Linked DNA regions of Ovis aries. The protein of the gene in region 2 purifies or fractionates together with the protein of the main gene of each other region. This does not show direct contact. Links are inferred from orthologs where the notes say so. Each region holds a gene or a part of one and is shown on either strand. Other genes may lie near its edges. The genes, in order: OGT and ASXL1.

Region 1 (7,930 bases), on a different chromosome or scaffold from region 2:
GCTTCCTGCAACTGCCCTCTTTCCTTGTACACATTCCCCAAATTTGAATAGGCTTCTGCCAGAAGGGGGTTCTGTTTAATTGCCAGAGTACTAAAGTGGGCAGATCTGGAAAAGGGGAAAAGTGTTGATGCATGGGTATGCATGTTACAGAAAGAAGGCATGGCCCTTATGCAACAGTTTTTGAAGATCCTGTGTAATGATCATTATATAATAATATATTATCTTTTAACTAGCTCATAGAAGGAAAAAGTGTGGAAATCAAAGTTTTTCAGACGTGGAGGCATTTGGAGTTCAAATCAGAACACTTTTTTCTTAAGAGAGAAAATTCTTAACTAGTCTCATTACCAAACTGCCTCATTGTAAACAATGATCAATAAGATCAAGAATGAAAACGCTATGTGCATGAGTCTCATTTTCCATCTACTGATAAAATTCAATGATGCACATCTTTAAATGTCTAAATAAGCCAGTGACAATTTATTAAAAGGCCAAGAACACAAATTCTTCCCTTTTGATTAATTCAACTGATTAGCTAAAAGTAGTACATCATAATGATTTAATGATGGCATTTGCAGCTTGAACTACATATGCACCTCCTACCGCAACATATACACTATTATCTCTGAACACTTCTGTCCCTCAAGGTGACACATCTTACAAAGGTGAGACTGGATGCTCAGATGTAGACCAAGAATAATTTATTACCTGAAAAAGAGTTCTAAAAAAGCAGCCGACGTAGGTGGAAAAATCTAGAAAAGGTTCCTAGTTATACCAATAATACAACCACCACCACAAAAGAAGGGAAGAAAACTGGCAGCTGGGCCTATCACAAGTGGGCAAGAGAGCAGATGTGCGTTGGTGGCTCCAGGTGAAACCCAGAACTGGAAAAATTTCAAGTTCAGATATTTAAGTAACATTTTTCAAGCTCAGCACTCAGAGGCAGCAATCACCAGCATCACCCCCACATCTCCTACCTGTCCAGCCTTCGACACTGGAAGTGTATAGATGAAAGTAATAAAAGCACACCAGTATTGTCTGGCTCTTGTCTCCAGAGCTGCATGCAGTGTCTCTCAGCTGCCTCAAAATCTCCTGCCTGATATTCACGATGTGCCAACTCAGCTAACCCTTGGAAGGAAAGCATACGTTTCGTTGGTTCTGGAGAATCATCAAAACATTTGAGGGAAGGAGGGGGGAAAACAAAAAGTTAGAAATGCAAACAAAAAAATGTAAAAATATGGTATATTAAACTTAAAGATGAAAACGCTTGAAACTATGTAAAGCACTAGAATGTTCTGCACATTATCGATACCCCCAAGTTAACATCAGGTGCAGAATTGGCATTTTTAGAATTCCCCGCCTACACAGAAATATTTACTTGCAAATGAGATATTTTATGACCAAAAATACTTGGTATTTTAAAATACAAATCAGATGTAGCATCTAAAGATTCACTACTAAACACTCCTTATACTTCAGTTAATATAGAGAAACGAAATATAAAACATGTGATTTGCGAGGTCACATAGATGTAATAATGTCAGAATAACCTACTGGGAAACTTAATACTTTGTCCCATGTTTTAGGTTGGATTGGGGGGGGGGTACTGGTAACAATCTACCTCTTAACCTGGGTGGGGACACCAGATGTGTGGTTAACTCTTCAAATTATATTCATGCTTTTTTATTATTTCACAACTTAATTTTTAAATTATTTTAAGGGTGACACTAGAAACAGGCATAAGGGGAAAAAACTAAAAGTCAAGGTGCTATTTTTAAAACAGCTGATAAACAAGATGAATTCATCTGTCAAGAGCCAAAATATTTAAAGGGGTCAAACATTTTAAATCAAAATCCAAGATTATATTATATTGCTCCTGTAACCATTCCAAACTCACACTGAGACCAAATTAGCTAAATCCCACCCACGATGGTTTAACACTAGCATTTTCTAAAGAGCTCTGATACTGACTAAAAGGACTAAAACACTGCAAACAACCCTGTATAAACCTACAACTGCAATGAATTTTTTAAAGAATGGAGAAATGCTAAAATATAAAACCATTCAATAAAGTGCAACTAAATTAATAATAAATGAATGTACTTTGCTGTGTGTAACTTTGTTCAGATACAAAAAGATAAAGAATATACAGCTAAAGCCCAGAGATGGAAAACAACAACAAGCTGCCTAAGTCTCAAGTGTAAATACTTTAACAATGATACATTACTTGGGAATTTGACCACAGTACTTCCAGGAGACAGAGTAAGAAACTTTCTACAAATTAAATACTTAAATTCTACCAAGCTCCAAGTGAGAAGCTAATATTGAGCCTAGACCCTCAATCATTAGACCTGGCAAATGAACTGTATACTCAGGAAAGTAAAGTAAATTTCCTAACAAGGCACAGCTAGCTGACCACTAACGTTAAGAGCAGAGAGACCTGCATCCACATTTGTGGACGGTTATACCTCTTATGGGCTTCCCTTGTGGCTCAGCTGGTAAAGAATCTGCCTGCAATGTGGGGAACCTGGGTTCGATCCCTGGGTTGAGAAGATCCCCTGGAGAAGGGAAAGGCTACCCACTCCAGTATTCCGGCCTGGAGAATTCCAGACTGCTATTGTTTCCCAGCTCACTCTGCTTCTGTTCAATTCGGTCCCATTTATTTTGGGGCTTCCCTGATGGCTCAGATGGTAAAGCGTCTGCCTGCAATGAGGGAGACCCGGGTTCGATTCCCGGGTCGGGAAGATCCCCTGGAGAAGGAAATGGCAATCCACTCCAGCACTCTTGCCTGGAAAATCCCATGGACGGAGGAGCCTGATAGGCTACAGTCCATGGGGTCGCAAAGAGTCGGACACGACTGAGCGACTTCACTATTCACTCTATCTATTTTAAACAAGTCTCTAGAACTCCCTTCCTTGCTCCTTATTTTTAACCCATACTTTATCAACTTTTCAAAAGCCGCCTATCTGCTATTTTAACACTAGAAATGACAACTTTCTCAAATAAAATAACAGGCAGAAAAGGGCAAGCAGGGGCTTCATTGGTAGTCTAGCGGTTAAGACTATGCGCTCCCAATGCAGGGGGCACAGGTTCCATGCCTGGTCCGGGGAACTAAGATCCCGCAAGCCGCATGGTGCGGCCAAAAAAGAAAGAAAAGGGCAAGCTAGAACAAGAGAATCTAGGACAGACTCTTAAATCTTTAAAAAAAAATCCCTGAGCGAGAGGGGAACACTACCAATCTCACTACCTACAGTCAAATATAAGATACAATTGAAGATTCATCTCTTAGTGCACAATGTCCAAGAACAATAAAACCCTTGACATCTCAACTGAGAAACCAACAAAAAAATAACCTCGTGGGAAACCTTAGAACCGCAGCCCAATCCCCCCTCCCTCCCGCCCCAAACAGCCTCAATACGGAAAGGCAGCTGAAGGACACCCCTATAATTTGGAGTTTTCTTATTTTTAGTACTAAATGCTCTCAGACTAATTGTCTAAAAGGGCAACCGCCTTGCACTTGTGCAGCTACACTCCAGTTGCTTTACAAACTCTTCAAGCAGGGATGAAAACTCAAAAAAATATACCCCCTATGAATAAAGAAATACCGGGCTAAAGAATGGGGATGGAAGACCCAGAGACAGACGGCGGCGGAGGAATACAAGGACAAAGTAACACAAAGCGAGAATTGGGCGGGCAGGATGGTCAACGCCGAAGCCCCCGCACTAGAGTGGTTTCTCCCCGAGGGTAGGAAACGGACCGCAGGGCTGGCAACCACGCGAAGGAAAGGGTGTGGCTCCCCGCGGGAGCGGAGGGAGGACAGGGTGGGAAATCCAGGCTGGGGGCAGCGAGTGGAATTGGGAGATGGCAAAAGAAACCCCTGGAAATTTCCAATCGAAACCGGGGCCGCTCAACCCAAGGCACAGCACACAGGCGCTGCCAGGCGCGGTGCTGCTCAAAATCCCCTGCTGGAGAGGTTACTCGGAGCGCACCCAGGAGCTTGCGCTCGTCCTTGGGGTGATGCAAAGTGAGGATACGATTACATTGGAACGGCACCTCCGCCCTAGATTGACAGAGGACCACCAAATCGGGCTAAAGGGAGCGGGGTGGAGGGGGAAGAGAAGGGGGCGGTGAGCTGAACTGGGGAGAAAACGACTGCGAAGGAGAATGAAAGGCAGCGAGAAGGGCAGGGATTCCAATGCAGTCCATTCTGAGACAGTCTAAGCGCGCAGGTGTAGAAGGGTCCCGAGAGAGCAGAAGGCTAGAAAATGTATAGGATTACAAAGCAAGAAAGGAAGCAAAAAGCAAGCAAGCGAGAGAAAATGTTTTAGGAACGGACGACAGCAGAAAACCCAGATCAGATGCCGCTAGACGCCGAAAAGCTTAGCGATGCCACTGATGCAATGGGGATGGCCAGAGGGGAGGGAGTGATGAGAGGCAGAGGACGGCGCGAGACCCCAAGGGGGCGTCTGCCAAAGTAGAACAGACACCGGTACCTGTGCTGTCGGCCACGTTGCCCACGGAAGACGCCATCTGGAGCTTCTAGAGCGAGTGCAAGAAGGGGGTGATTGAATCCTGCAGCCGCCACTACTGGCAATAATGTTTCTAGAGGTAGGAGCACGAGGGCAGCAGCCGTACCAGTGCTTTGGCAGGCTTAAGCAGCAGCAACAGTTACAGCTTTCGAACCCTAGAACTCTGGTTGGCCATCTACCTCTCACGGTCTTGAAATGGCGGCGACGGCTCCTCGGCCGAAACAACACGGACCGGAACTACTTTCTGTTACAATCAAGTACCAGCGCGGAAGTAGCGCGGTAACCAGTGCTACCAACAAAATGACTATAATCAAAGTCAATCGCTCCTATGTAACCTTCCGCGCAGGGCCCATTGCGACAAACACGATTATGTCTAGAGCGCATGCGAGCAGCCGTGTCAGCCCGACTGGCTGTTAGGGCACTGTCTGGGACAGGAGCCACCAAGTTTTTTTTACTAGCGAAGCGGATGGTTTAAAAGAAACTATACACTTGAATGACACTTTTGCCAGTGGTATAGTCTGCTGCTGCTGCTGCTGCTGCTGCTGCTGCTGCTAAGTCGCTTCAGTCGTGTCCGACTCCGTGCGACCCCATAGACGGCAGCCCACCACGCTCCCCCGTCCCTGGGATTCTCCAGGCAAGAACACTGGAGTGGGTTGCCATTTCCTTCTCCAATGCACGAAAATGAAAAGTGAACGTGAAGTTGCTCAGTCGTGTCCGACTCCCAGCGAACCCGTGGACTGCATCCCACCAGGCTCCTCCGTCCATGGGATTTTCCAGGCAAGAGTACTGGAGTGGGTTGCCATTGCCTTCTCCATGGTATAGTCTACTACTTAGCAAAGAGCATAGATTTTAATAGGAATGCCAAAGGCGTATACAGGTTTCATCAACTTCATTCGTATAGTTGAAAGATGATGAATCAATTCTGAGCAAGTAAATCTAAATGGTTATATTTTCAAAGTCTAGAATTCAAAAGAGAGAGTTCCAATTTGAACACGTGTTAGTTCTGATTCCAGCCATTGGTTTAAGCACTTTGATTAAAAGGATTGAGTTTCTCAGGGCCAAATGAACCCAAGCATCTCAGATTTTGGCCATATAGCCCAAAAGTTCCAAATCCTCTTGGTTTCACGATAATTTTGCCCACAGTATTACGGCAAATGCTTCACAACTCAGGGACATGCTGACAGTTTGCACTGCAAAGGCAGCAGCCATAAAACTGTTAAAGATTCATATTCTTCAAAATCCATGACCCTTCCGAGTTGACTTCATTTCCACCACATTGCTTTGTGAATTGTTACAATCAGTGATACCATTTAACTCAAGGCAGCTCAACAATGATAAATTGATTCATTTGCCATCTACCTAAACCACACATCTAGAGACTAAACTGCTGCGCTTCCTTGAACAAATCAGTTCTTTATGATCCTCCTGCAGTTTCAAGTCCACTGTTCAGACGTTTTGTCACATTTAGTATTAATTTATATTGCATCTCTTGTTCCAGAAAGGATTAAAGTAGCTTGCCACATTAGCAAGAAATTACAAACCAATGAAGGCAAGAAGCTGGGGCTCTCAGAGCCTTTTTATTTCCCCAAAAATAGTCCTTGATCTAAGACAACAAGTCCGTGAGTTTATTCAAAATGTTTCTACTACCTAGTCATCTGACCACTTATTTTTTTAAAAAAACTTAGGTCCTCAAATTTTGCTTTAATTTATCTGAGACAGTTCACATACTGTTAATTATGGATATGAGTGCAGAAGAAACTTGTAATATTGATAATTTCTTCTATTACATCCATAATTAAAAGTCAGGTGCAGTGAAAAAGTTCACTGCACAAACTTTCCTGGAAATTGGGCACCAGCTTCTTCTCTTAATTTAACTGGTAAAACCTTCCCCCCACCCCACTCCCCCCGGTGCCCCACCCCTCACTACAAGTGTTTGATCTGTGGTGAATAAAATCAGCTTTTCAACTTTTATAACAGACTTCTCAAATTCCACTGGCAGATGTTTAGGCCTTCCTGAGTAGAGGGTGCTTAGCTAATTAAGTAAAATTCTTCTTCAATGCCAGGTTATGTTGCCAGCTGGGCCAGCTATTTGGCCCATCCATACTTGTGTCTAAGTTTCCTTCTCCTGAGAGAGGAATCAAGGGATGCTGCTGGGAAAAGCTGGGTGGTGGGGCTCACTGTGAATCAATAAGGAAACACCCCCCCACACCCTGTTGGAATCTCAAGAACCCCCTCCAGGTGCTTTCCAGGAGTAGCACCTGGAGGGTTTAGTTTGAAGGACTTACCAGATAAAACCATCTTCTTTGGCCAATCAAGTAACATTTACTAGAGTCTGTGCAAGGCACTGTGGGAGATGCAAAAATCAACGGGAAGATCTTTGCCCTCAAGGAAATTGAAGCCCAGGTAGTTAGACTCAGAAAGCCACTAGAGCATAAAAAAGAAGAGCATTATAAAGGTGATAAAATACATCAGTGTCTGTAAATATCTGAGAAGGGAACAGTCACTTCAGGCTGGAGAAGGGTGACAAAGAAGGCGTGACCTAGGTGTTGAAGGGGGTGCTTTTGTGTGTTCTCTTTCACACCGATTTCTGTTTAATGTTTTGTTTTGTTTTCTCCCTTTTATGGGTAGCAATTCAAAATTCAGAATCATCTAAAACAAACCAGATGCTTCTTCCACTGCAACCCCAAACTTTGCCACCTTAATAACACTGCTAATGGTGTATTAGTTTTCTGTTACTGTCTCACAAATTACCACCAACTTAGCGGCTTGAAACAAATACATATTTTGCAGCAGTTGCACCTGCGCTCGGTGAGGGAGCCTGAGACACGCTCTGGCCGCTGCCACCAAATGGTTCAATGAAGCTGGAAGAATACACAGATGTAGCACCGCAGGCTCATCAGATGTTTGCGGATACTGTTCCAGAGAGAGATCGACCTCCACCCCACCCCCCCCGGATTAGCTAACCAGTCATAAACAAAGAAAATTTGTTTAAAAACCTCCCGGAAATCGTTGAACCCGAATAAAAGGATGAAACTGATTTCATGGTAGCACAGCAACCATCACTAGCCAGTGAGTTTGGAAAACATGATTCCTTATTTGGTAGCTGCTATGGTAAAGACATGGCCAGCTGGGATATCAACAGGGAAGATGAAAAAGAACAAAATAGATCAAAGAGTGAAAGCCTAATGGGTACCTTAAAAAGGTGGCTTTCTGCAGAACAAAAGCAGAAAAGCAAGAGGATTGCACCCTCTGGGAGCTCTGCCAGATGAGGATGCAGTGTCCTCTCCTCAGCACCAGTCGTTTTTAAAGATGTGACTTCTGAAAGATCATTACTATAGTCATACCCCTTAGCCTCTTGACCAGCAAACTCTTGAGGAGGCCTGTATCAAAATGGAGGAAGTAAG
Region 2 (8,056 bases):
ACACCTATGCCCATTCATTTGTGCATTACCTGTGGCTGCTTTCCCACTTCAACAGTAAAGTTGAATAGTTATGATAGAGACAGTGTGGCCCACAAAACATAAAATATTATCTGGTCATTCACAGAAAAAAATTTGCCTACTCCTTCACTCTGCTGCTGCTGCTAAGTCGCTTCAGCCGTGTCCGACTCTGTGCGACCCCATAGATGGCAGCCCACCAGGCTCCGCCACCCCTGGGATTCTCCAGGCAAGAACACTGGAGTGGGTTGCCATTTCCTTCTCCAATGCATGAAAAGTGAAAGTGAAGTCACTGAGTCGTGTCCAACTCTCAGCAACCCCATGGACTGCAGACCACCAGGCTCCTCCATCCATGGGATTTTCTAGGCAAGAGTACTGGAGTACGGTGCCACTGCCTTCTCCATCAGTTCGCTCTACTTAAGCTTTATTGTGAATTCTACCTGATTTCTCTCCAATAGTAATTAGTGTCACTTGTTAAATGCTAACGAGTTTTTTAATTTCCACAAGTATTTTCAAATTTCAGTTATTTTCCATAGAGTAGGTCTTACTCAGCTGTCCGGCAATTTATCCTTCACAACATTATTATAAACAAATTCATAATTAAGCACATTTGCAATTACCCACACACATACTTATCCCTCTATTGCATATAATCTGCAAAGATATAGACAAGGAAAAACATTACAGACACAATAGCTGATATGACTAAATATTTAATAATTCCTAATACCCTGTTCACACTAGATCGTCTCTCAAGGTGCCATTTCAGAACAACAGCAGCATCCCTCACCTGCCTATTATAAATGCAAATTTGTGGGCTTCATTCCAGACCTACCAGGTAATCCTTATGAACACTAAAATTTCAAGAACCACTGCACTAAAGGAGAATTTACATGACTTACCTTGAGTGTAAAAAGGCTGATTCGGCCAGGTAGTTTATAAAATAACCCCTCTCCTCCTCTGGAATTGGAATGTAGCATGGCATTAAGACATGCGAGAGGGGATGTCCCACTGTAAAAACATACAAGGATGGAAAAAGGTCATACAAACCAAGATATCTACTTACTCAAAGATCTCTTACACTTCAACTCATTATTAAATCAAGAAGAACAGGAAGAAATATAAAACATCCCATGACAAGAATTCTGTTCTGAAAGTGGCAAAGGAGTAGCACATGAAATTCACATAAATCACACCTAGAGAGCTCTGGGATAACAGGTTATGTGGTATCTCTACTCCACATCTGATGATTCTTGAGTGCCTTTTGCCAATATGAACCAAACTCTCAAGAAATTTAGAAACACTGCACAGATTTTTCAGGAACACTCAGGAGTTTTGGAAAAAAAAAATTACCCAATATTTTTATTTACTCAAAATTTTTTAAATTAAATTTTAATGCTAATTAGAAACAAAACCAGGGTTCCCTAGCCTCTATCTTTCAACCTGCACATCATGCTCAGAAACTGCCACATAACATTTTTAACACAAAGACCAGGCATCAGTGATGCTGTCCTGAGAAAATAAACATACTTTTTTTTTCCAGTTAAATTATTTTTCAATACACACACAAAAGGAATAGCATTTCATTTGCTTTTTCTCAGTTGGGAAGGGGGAAAGATGCATTTTATTTTGTATCTACCCAGGAGCAATTCTTTAAATTTGAATTAAAAAAGTCAAACAGACTTAGTATGCAATAATATAATGTTCAACCATTAAACCAAAAACAAAGAGATAGCATCTTAAGTTGTTTCACAGTTCCTGCTACAACAGAAGGTTGCAAAACAATGACAACTCGAGTGAGTTAGAGACTACTTATTCAGTCTCAAAAAGAGACATTGTCAAAAATACAGACAAATGCCCATTATTAACTGAGTTTGGCACTAGCATGTTAGTACTAGGGTTTACCTGTGCACCTTCTTGTCCCTCTCTCCAGCAAGATATATAAATATCAATATCTTAAGTAATGCCTCTCAGCATTTTTCAAAATTAGAGGCCCTAATTTTTGTCACGTTAAAAATAAATTTTGAGTCTAAAAAAGTCATCAAAAAAAAAACTATTACTTATTCGGCTTTGGAACACCCTACACGCCTAAGAAAAAAAAAATTTCACCAAGGACCAATCTCTATAAGAAACCTTGTGCAGAATCTGGAGTGTCAAGTGGGTGTGCTAACATCTCTGCTACAGGGGAAAGCATGCTGGCAGAGTCTTTCTTCCAACAGCGTGACTCCTACACACTATCCCTCTGTCTACAAATTATAGAGCTGCTCACTCATCACGAGCCACCATGACCACTTCATAATTCCTGTAAGAGCCAGAAGCAGAAACAAGTTAGGTTCTCAATTCCATCTGTCCTAAAAGGACTAATTTACCTTCTATAGGCATAGTGGTCCACCAGCAGTGCAGACAGCGGCGCGATGGGAAATAGCCCATAAAAACAAAATAAAACAAAAGACGCAATTAAACCACCACACCGTGCATAGGTAGTATTTACATGAAGCACCAGAACATGATCCAGACAATCCCGACCTTCCCTCCCCACAAATGTCAGTTTGAGAATGTGTGAACTGACAACTGGAAAGTGAGGATCTTTTGATCCTAAAAGATCAATTTAAGTAGCTAAAGCTTAACCAGCAAAATATATGCTGATTGTTCTGAATCCCAAGAAGGAACTGTGTTGTGCTCTCCTCTCCCACTTAAATTTTGAAAAAAAGGTTGGGGTGAGCAGAGAAAGGATTCAGGACAGTCCCTGGTTTTTATTTGTGCCTGCAATTCTTTTTGTGTTTCCAATTTGTTGCTTCTCTAGGAAAAATATAGGATAAGAAAATCAAGGTCATCACCAAATTTAGCATGCTCATAGCAGGATAGGCTAGAATCAGTAGGGGAAAAAAATCAGTAAGTTTTATGATTGGATCACCCTTCTCTGAGCCTAAAAACAAAGAACTTCAGAGATATGGTACAGAGAGAAGGATAGTTTTAGACATGATGGAGCAGATCAGTCTATTCCTTCTCTACTACTGACACGTGCAAAACGGAATACAAGAGAAAACACGCTGACTCCTTATGCAAAAAACAAGCTCCACGGTGAAAGGCATAGTAGAGCAAGGACGGGGAACCTGCTGCACCTCTGATGAAAACCAACAGAATTGCAGCCACTCCCGCCCTCCAGCCAGAGGACCAAAGACACCGAGACAGCTCCACACTACCATCAAACACGTGTGTGTGTATGTGTGCACACATATATGCATTTGTGGACTTTCTCATTCACTACCTAACTGCAGGAAGACACATGTTCTCTAAAACCCTCACATTAAGCAACAAGAGCCATACAAACCTCATTTCCTTTAGTCCTTCTGCCTCTATGACCTGCAGAATCTGTTTGGGTGTCATTGGAGCATCCGAATAGTTTTCCAGTACCTGAAGAAATATAAATGTTCTGATTTCAGTGTGCAGTTCCCATTTATATCCATTACTATACAACATGGGCTACAATTCTGCTATGAGGTACCACTGCTGACATCTTAGTTTTTCCACAGTCAAAATTACTTCTGAAACCAAATTACACATATATCTAACTAGTTGCTGAAAGTGACTGCAATTAGAAGAAATACTCTAATTTTCAATTCTGAAAATACACATCCTCTCAGCATCCATGTTCTGGTATGTGGGGCCTTCCCAACTTTAATTGCCACTTAACCTGATGCTGTTAATACAGCTAAACTAGAGAATACATAGCACTATAAACTGTAAGACAGAACTGCATTCAGGCTTTCCTTCCCAAGTAAGTTTGATTAGTTACAATATTTTTATCTTTTTTTGTGTGGGGGGAGGGGGGAGGGGGGAGGGAGCGGCGGCTTGGCTTGCAGGATTAGTTCCCCAACTAGGGATTGAACTGGACACTCAGCAGTGAAAGGATGTAGCCCTAACCACCAGACGGGCAGGGAATTCCAGGTACCTGTATTTTTTCAATGATGACTTTCGCCACTGGGTTGTGGCATTCTGGTGTTAATTAGTACAGGACAATTTGCCTTTCAGCAATACAATGCTACGATTCTATATGATTGGTGCAAGCAAAACAAGGAGAAATGGAACATCCCATTTATATTAGTGACATCTATAATTAAGCCCCAGCAACAATGTCTTAGTGAGCAACCAGTGCTCTCTCACTTGAACAAGCTGAGTTGTTTTAGAAATGTTATCCTTTTCAGAAAGGAAAAAAGACAGGCTGTCAGTATCTCTGTACCATCTCTAGCAGTACAGCTGCTGAGGTTACGCCAAACCACACCAACATCTTACAGTCATTTAACAGCCCTAACAAAGTACTGCATGGCTGTGTCACAGATAAAATGCAAAGCAAGAAGCCTAACAGGACTGCTGTGAAGGTTCTCTCCGTGGAAGAACAAGAGTTCTAAGTGATAAAGAAGTCAAGTTTTGGAGAAGCAGGTGCTGAAATAAAACCCCTATTTCCTATGGTCCCATTCTTAATCTCTCTGTTCAGTGTTTACATTCTCCTTGGGTATCATTATCATCTCTCACAGTTTCAACGCTACCAAAATACTGAATTAACTCCCAAATCTCAACCTTTTGCCTGGATTTCTCCCTAAGCTTCAGGCCGCAGATATTCAGTTCGGTACTGGACATCCCTCATGATCATCTTCTCTCTTCTGATATTCCTCTCCTTGGTTGGCAGTCTGTCTCATCACCTAATTTAAAACCAAGGCATCATCCTTCACTCTCACCTGTCCCCCAGTTCTCCCAGCCAGTTTCTTTCCTTTAAAAGAAAATTTTTTTTATTTAATTTATTTGGCTGCACCAAGTCTTAGTAGCAGCACTCTAGATCTTGAGTTGCAGCACGCAAACTCTTAACTGCACCATGTGTGATCAAGTTCCCTAACCAGGAGCCGAAACTGGGCCGCCTACACTGCGAGTACGAGGTCTTGGAGCCACTGGTCACCAGGGAAGTTCCCCCACAGCCAGTGTCTGACCCAACTTGACACAACAGCCTCTTCTCTAACATCCCTGCTTTCCTCAAATTCATTCTTACTCCGCTGCCATCCTTCATTCAACAAATACATGAAATACTCTGTGCTAGGAATAATTTTAGACATTCATCAGTAAAAAAGACCAAAGCTCAGCAGAGCTTAACCTGCTATAGCCTGAGGTCAGTCCAACAAAATAAACCTGCCCTCACCACTTTCTGCATTAAAGTCCTTCGACAGCAACCTATTTCCATACAGCGGAAGCTGAAGCTCCAGAGAGGCCACTGGCCCACTAGAAAAGCACGGGTTTTAAAAGCAAACAGACGTGGTTTTAAACATTCAAATTCTGGTCTTCTAAACCTGGGCAAAGAGTTGTGTTGCAAAGAGTTGGACACAACTTGGCGACTGAACAACAAAAAAACCTGGGCAAGTTACCTACCCGCCCTGAGTCTAGGTTTCCTCACTTGTGAAGGAAGGATACTGAGGCCTTCTTCTCAGAGTTGTTGCAGAGATAATGGAGTAAGTGCCTATGGTGCCAGACACAAGGTGTGTGCTGGCCAGGCATGCCAGACCCTCACAATCTGGTCTCTGCCTGGCTCTCTGATACTCCACAAACTTTATGTTCCAATAACTACGTGCAGGTCTACCCAATTCCCACACTCTCCACCCTGCAGATAAATACACACATACACACACTCTCCTATTTTTTGTTGCCAACTCCTGCTTATGTCCTCTGTGAGGAGTCTAACTCCTACTCACCCTTCAAGATTCAGTTCGGAAAGCACCTTCCTCCAGGAAGCCTTCTCTACTCTCTGCCAGATAGTTAAGCGTCTTTTTTCAGTGCCCCATAGTTGCACAACACATATAATTCATCTTCCAAAGCAGGACACTTGAGAATAAAAGGAGGAACTACTCATAATTATGCCTAGACAGTAAGCAGAAATCAGGATGTCTATTACCATTTATACATCTATGCTGGCACTTACCATGCTTGTAATGAAATTCTACTCACCTGTTAGAGAAGGACTCTAACCCCAGAAAAACCATAAGCTCCTCAAGGGCAGACCATATCCATTTCTGTAATTCCAAGAACCTAACTGCCAAGTTAAGCAGCACTGATGAACAAACCCACAATACAAACTACTAATGTTCACTGCCACAGATATGACTTCTTTGATACTAATTGTGAGCTGAGCTAGTGAATTTTTTCACAGTAATTTTTTGTTTTTTAAGAAGCAAGACTCAAAAATTAGTTACCAATTATTTAAACAGCAGTCAGGAAGAGCCTGAGAATCTTAAGACAGAGGAAACAGAATCTCTATAGGGAAGTTACATCAAAAGATACAAGGTATTCACTTTTATTAAAACTGTATATGCCTTCAGCTTTTAGTGTAAGAACAATTCAGCAGTGTTCTCTCCCCACCCTGTCTTTCTACAGCATACAAAAAGTATCTCTTCTCCAACTTCAAAGGGGGAAAAAATGTTTGATGTAAGAATGGTCAGTCATGAATCAAAGTGAAAGATAAAGCATGCAATGAAGAGTTTCTCAAAGCCAGGGAGAATCCATTTAAGGGCATTCAATCTAAAGGGAAATCCACTCAGCTATTTCTCCCAAACTGTTTCTAACAAGCAGGAGGATTTAGACCCACCCAACCACCTAAAGTCTACTTTCTACATCTAGGAAAAACAATACCAGCAGGTGTTATAAAGAAGAATATCTACTTCTCAACAACATAATTAACAGCTGCAAAAATCAATCTCCTGGGATTTACTACATTACTGAAATAGTCCATAAGTCTCTTCTTTCCTATCAGAATAGCTTAAAAACGGTTCCTGGTATCATTTTAACCACCAAACTGAGCAAGGTCGGGAGCAATATGAAACTGCCCCCAAGCAAGTGCATCTTGATTGCCACAGCAAGCACTCCAAATTCACCTGTCCAAAGAGTACTTAGAACTAACCTACCCTCCTACCATTACAACTCACTCTTCTCTCTATCCAGTGTAAGCACTCACAAACTCTCCAGCACTTGGTTTGTTAAAGCAATTTTTTTTTTCCATATGAGCAGAGAATTCTTAAGAGCTCCCCCTCACCCACCAACTGGTCCATCCAAAGGGACAGAAAATCCTAAACAAAAAACAATAGAAGATATACAAAACTATACACTATATTCCCACAAGTCATCTTGCAAGAGTTTAAGAGCATAAAGTAATTCCCAGTAGGAAATACTATTTTTTAATGAAGAATCATAAAAGAAAAAGAATTTACTGGGGACAAACTGAGCCATGATAAAACAGAAATAGCAACCTGGAACTGGATTGTAGATCACAGTAAACTCAAGACTATAAAGAGACATAATAGTGGACCCCTGAATTCCCAGAGTCTTTCAACTAGGAAGAGCCAACGGAGCTTTAAGACAGGCAGACTTTAGAATTCTGTCAGGACATAAATAAGAAAGGATTTAAAGGTACTTTCACCTACCTCTAACAAGTAAAAACTCTGGCAAGCAAATTTCCTTTTGGTGCCCAGAGTCATAAACACCTGCAGAACAGAAACTCAGAGGAGAATTTCAATGAACAGCCTCAACCTCCAGGAGAAAGCAAGCACATCCTTCTGGCTCTCACTACTCTCCTCTAGGCCTAAATCTGTTTCCAGGTGAAGCAATCCTGGAGAAATCTGAAACTTCCAAGAGATTCTGAAAGCTAACCAAAGGTTCCAAATTTGACTGCATCCAAAAAACATACTTAAGTACTTCAAAATCTTCAAATTTCATATGCCAAACCAAAACAAAGTAACTGAAGCACAAAACTTCAACATACAAACTAATTGCTACTTCCCTTTCTTGGGCAAAAAAGGTATGAGAAAGATAATCAGGTACACCAGTGAAATTTCTCCTACACACCAAACAGCATTCCCTCTTTTAAGTCAGTAACTGAGTTTTAAGGCTCCAAGAAAGAAGAGTGTACCACAGATTTGTAAAAACCTCCAACACATATTCATCTTTTTTGCTCAACACCTCTGAGGCAGGAACCTCACTTCCCAATAAAATTAAAGATTAGAAGGCT

The links.
Region 1: the proteins of ASXL1 (region 2) and OGT purify together in Homo sapiens (affinity purification with mass spectrometry; 3 studies listed by BioGRID and IntAct, with this or other methods). This does not show direct contact. The link is inferred for Ovis aries from reciprocal best matches to the Homo sapiens genes ASXL1 and OGT.

Annotation. Positions count from the first base shown.
Region 1 is NC_056080.1:64,198,115-64,206,044, reverse strand, and holds the start of OGT (UDP-N-acetylglucosamine--peptide N-acetylglucosaminyltransferase 110 kDa subunit), read right to left. Parts: upstream 4,724-7,930; 5' UTR 4,528-4,723; coding exon 4,491-4,527; intron 1,156-4,490; coding exon 975-1,155; intron 106-974; coding exon 1-105. UniProt on the Homo sapiens protein: Catalyzes the transfer of a single N-acetylglucosamine from UDP-GlcNAc to a serine or threonine residue in cytoplasmic and nuclear proteins resulting in their modification with a beta-linked N-acetylglucosamine (O-GlcNAc).
Region 2 is NC_056066.1:61,470,263-61,478,318, reverse strand, and holds the start of ASXL1 (polycomb group protein ASXL1), read right to left. Parts: upstream 4,859-8,056; 5' UTR 4,654-4,858; coding exon 4,594-4,653; intron 3,430-4,593; coding exon 3,347-3,429; intron 3,112-3,346; exon of another isoform or gene 2,388-3,111; coding exon of another isoform or gene 2,385-2,387; intron 1,027-2,384; coding exon 918-1,026; intron 1-917.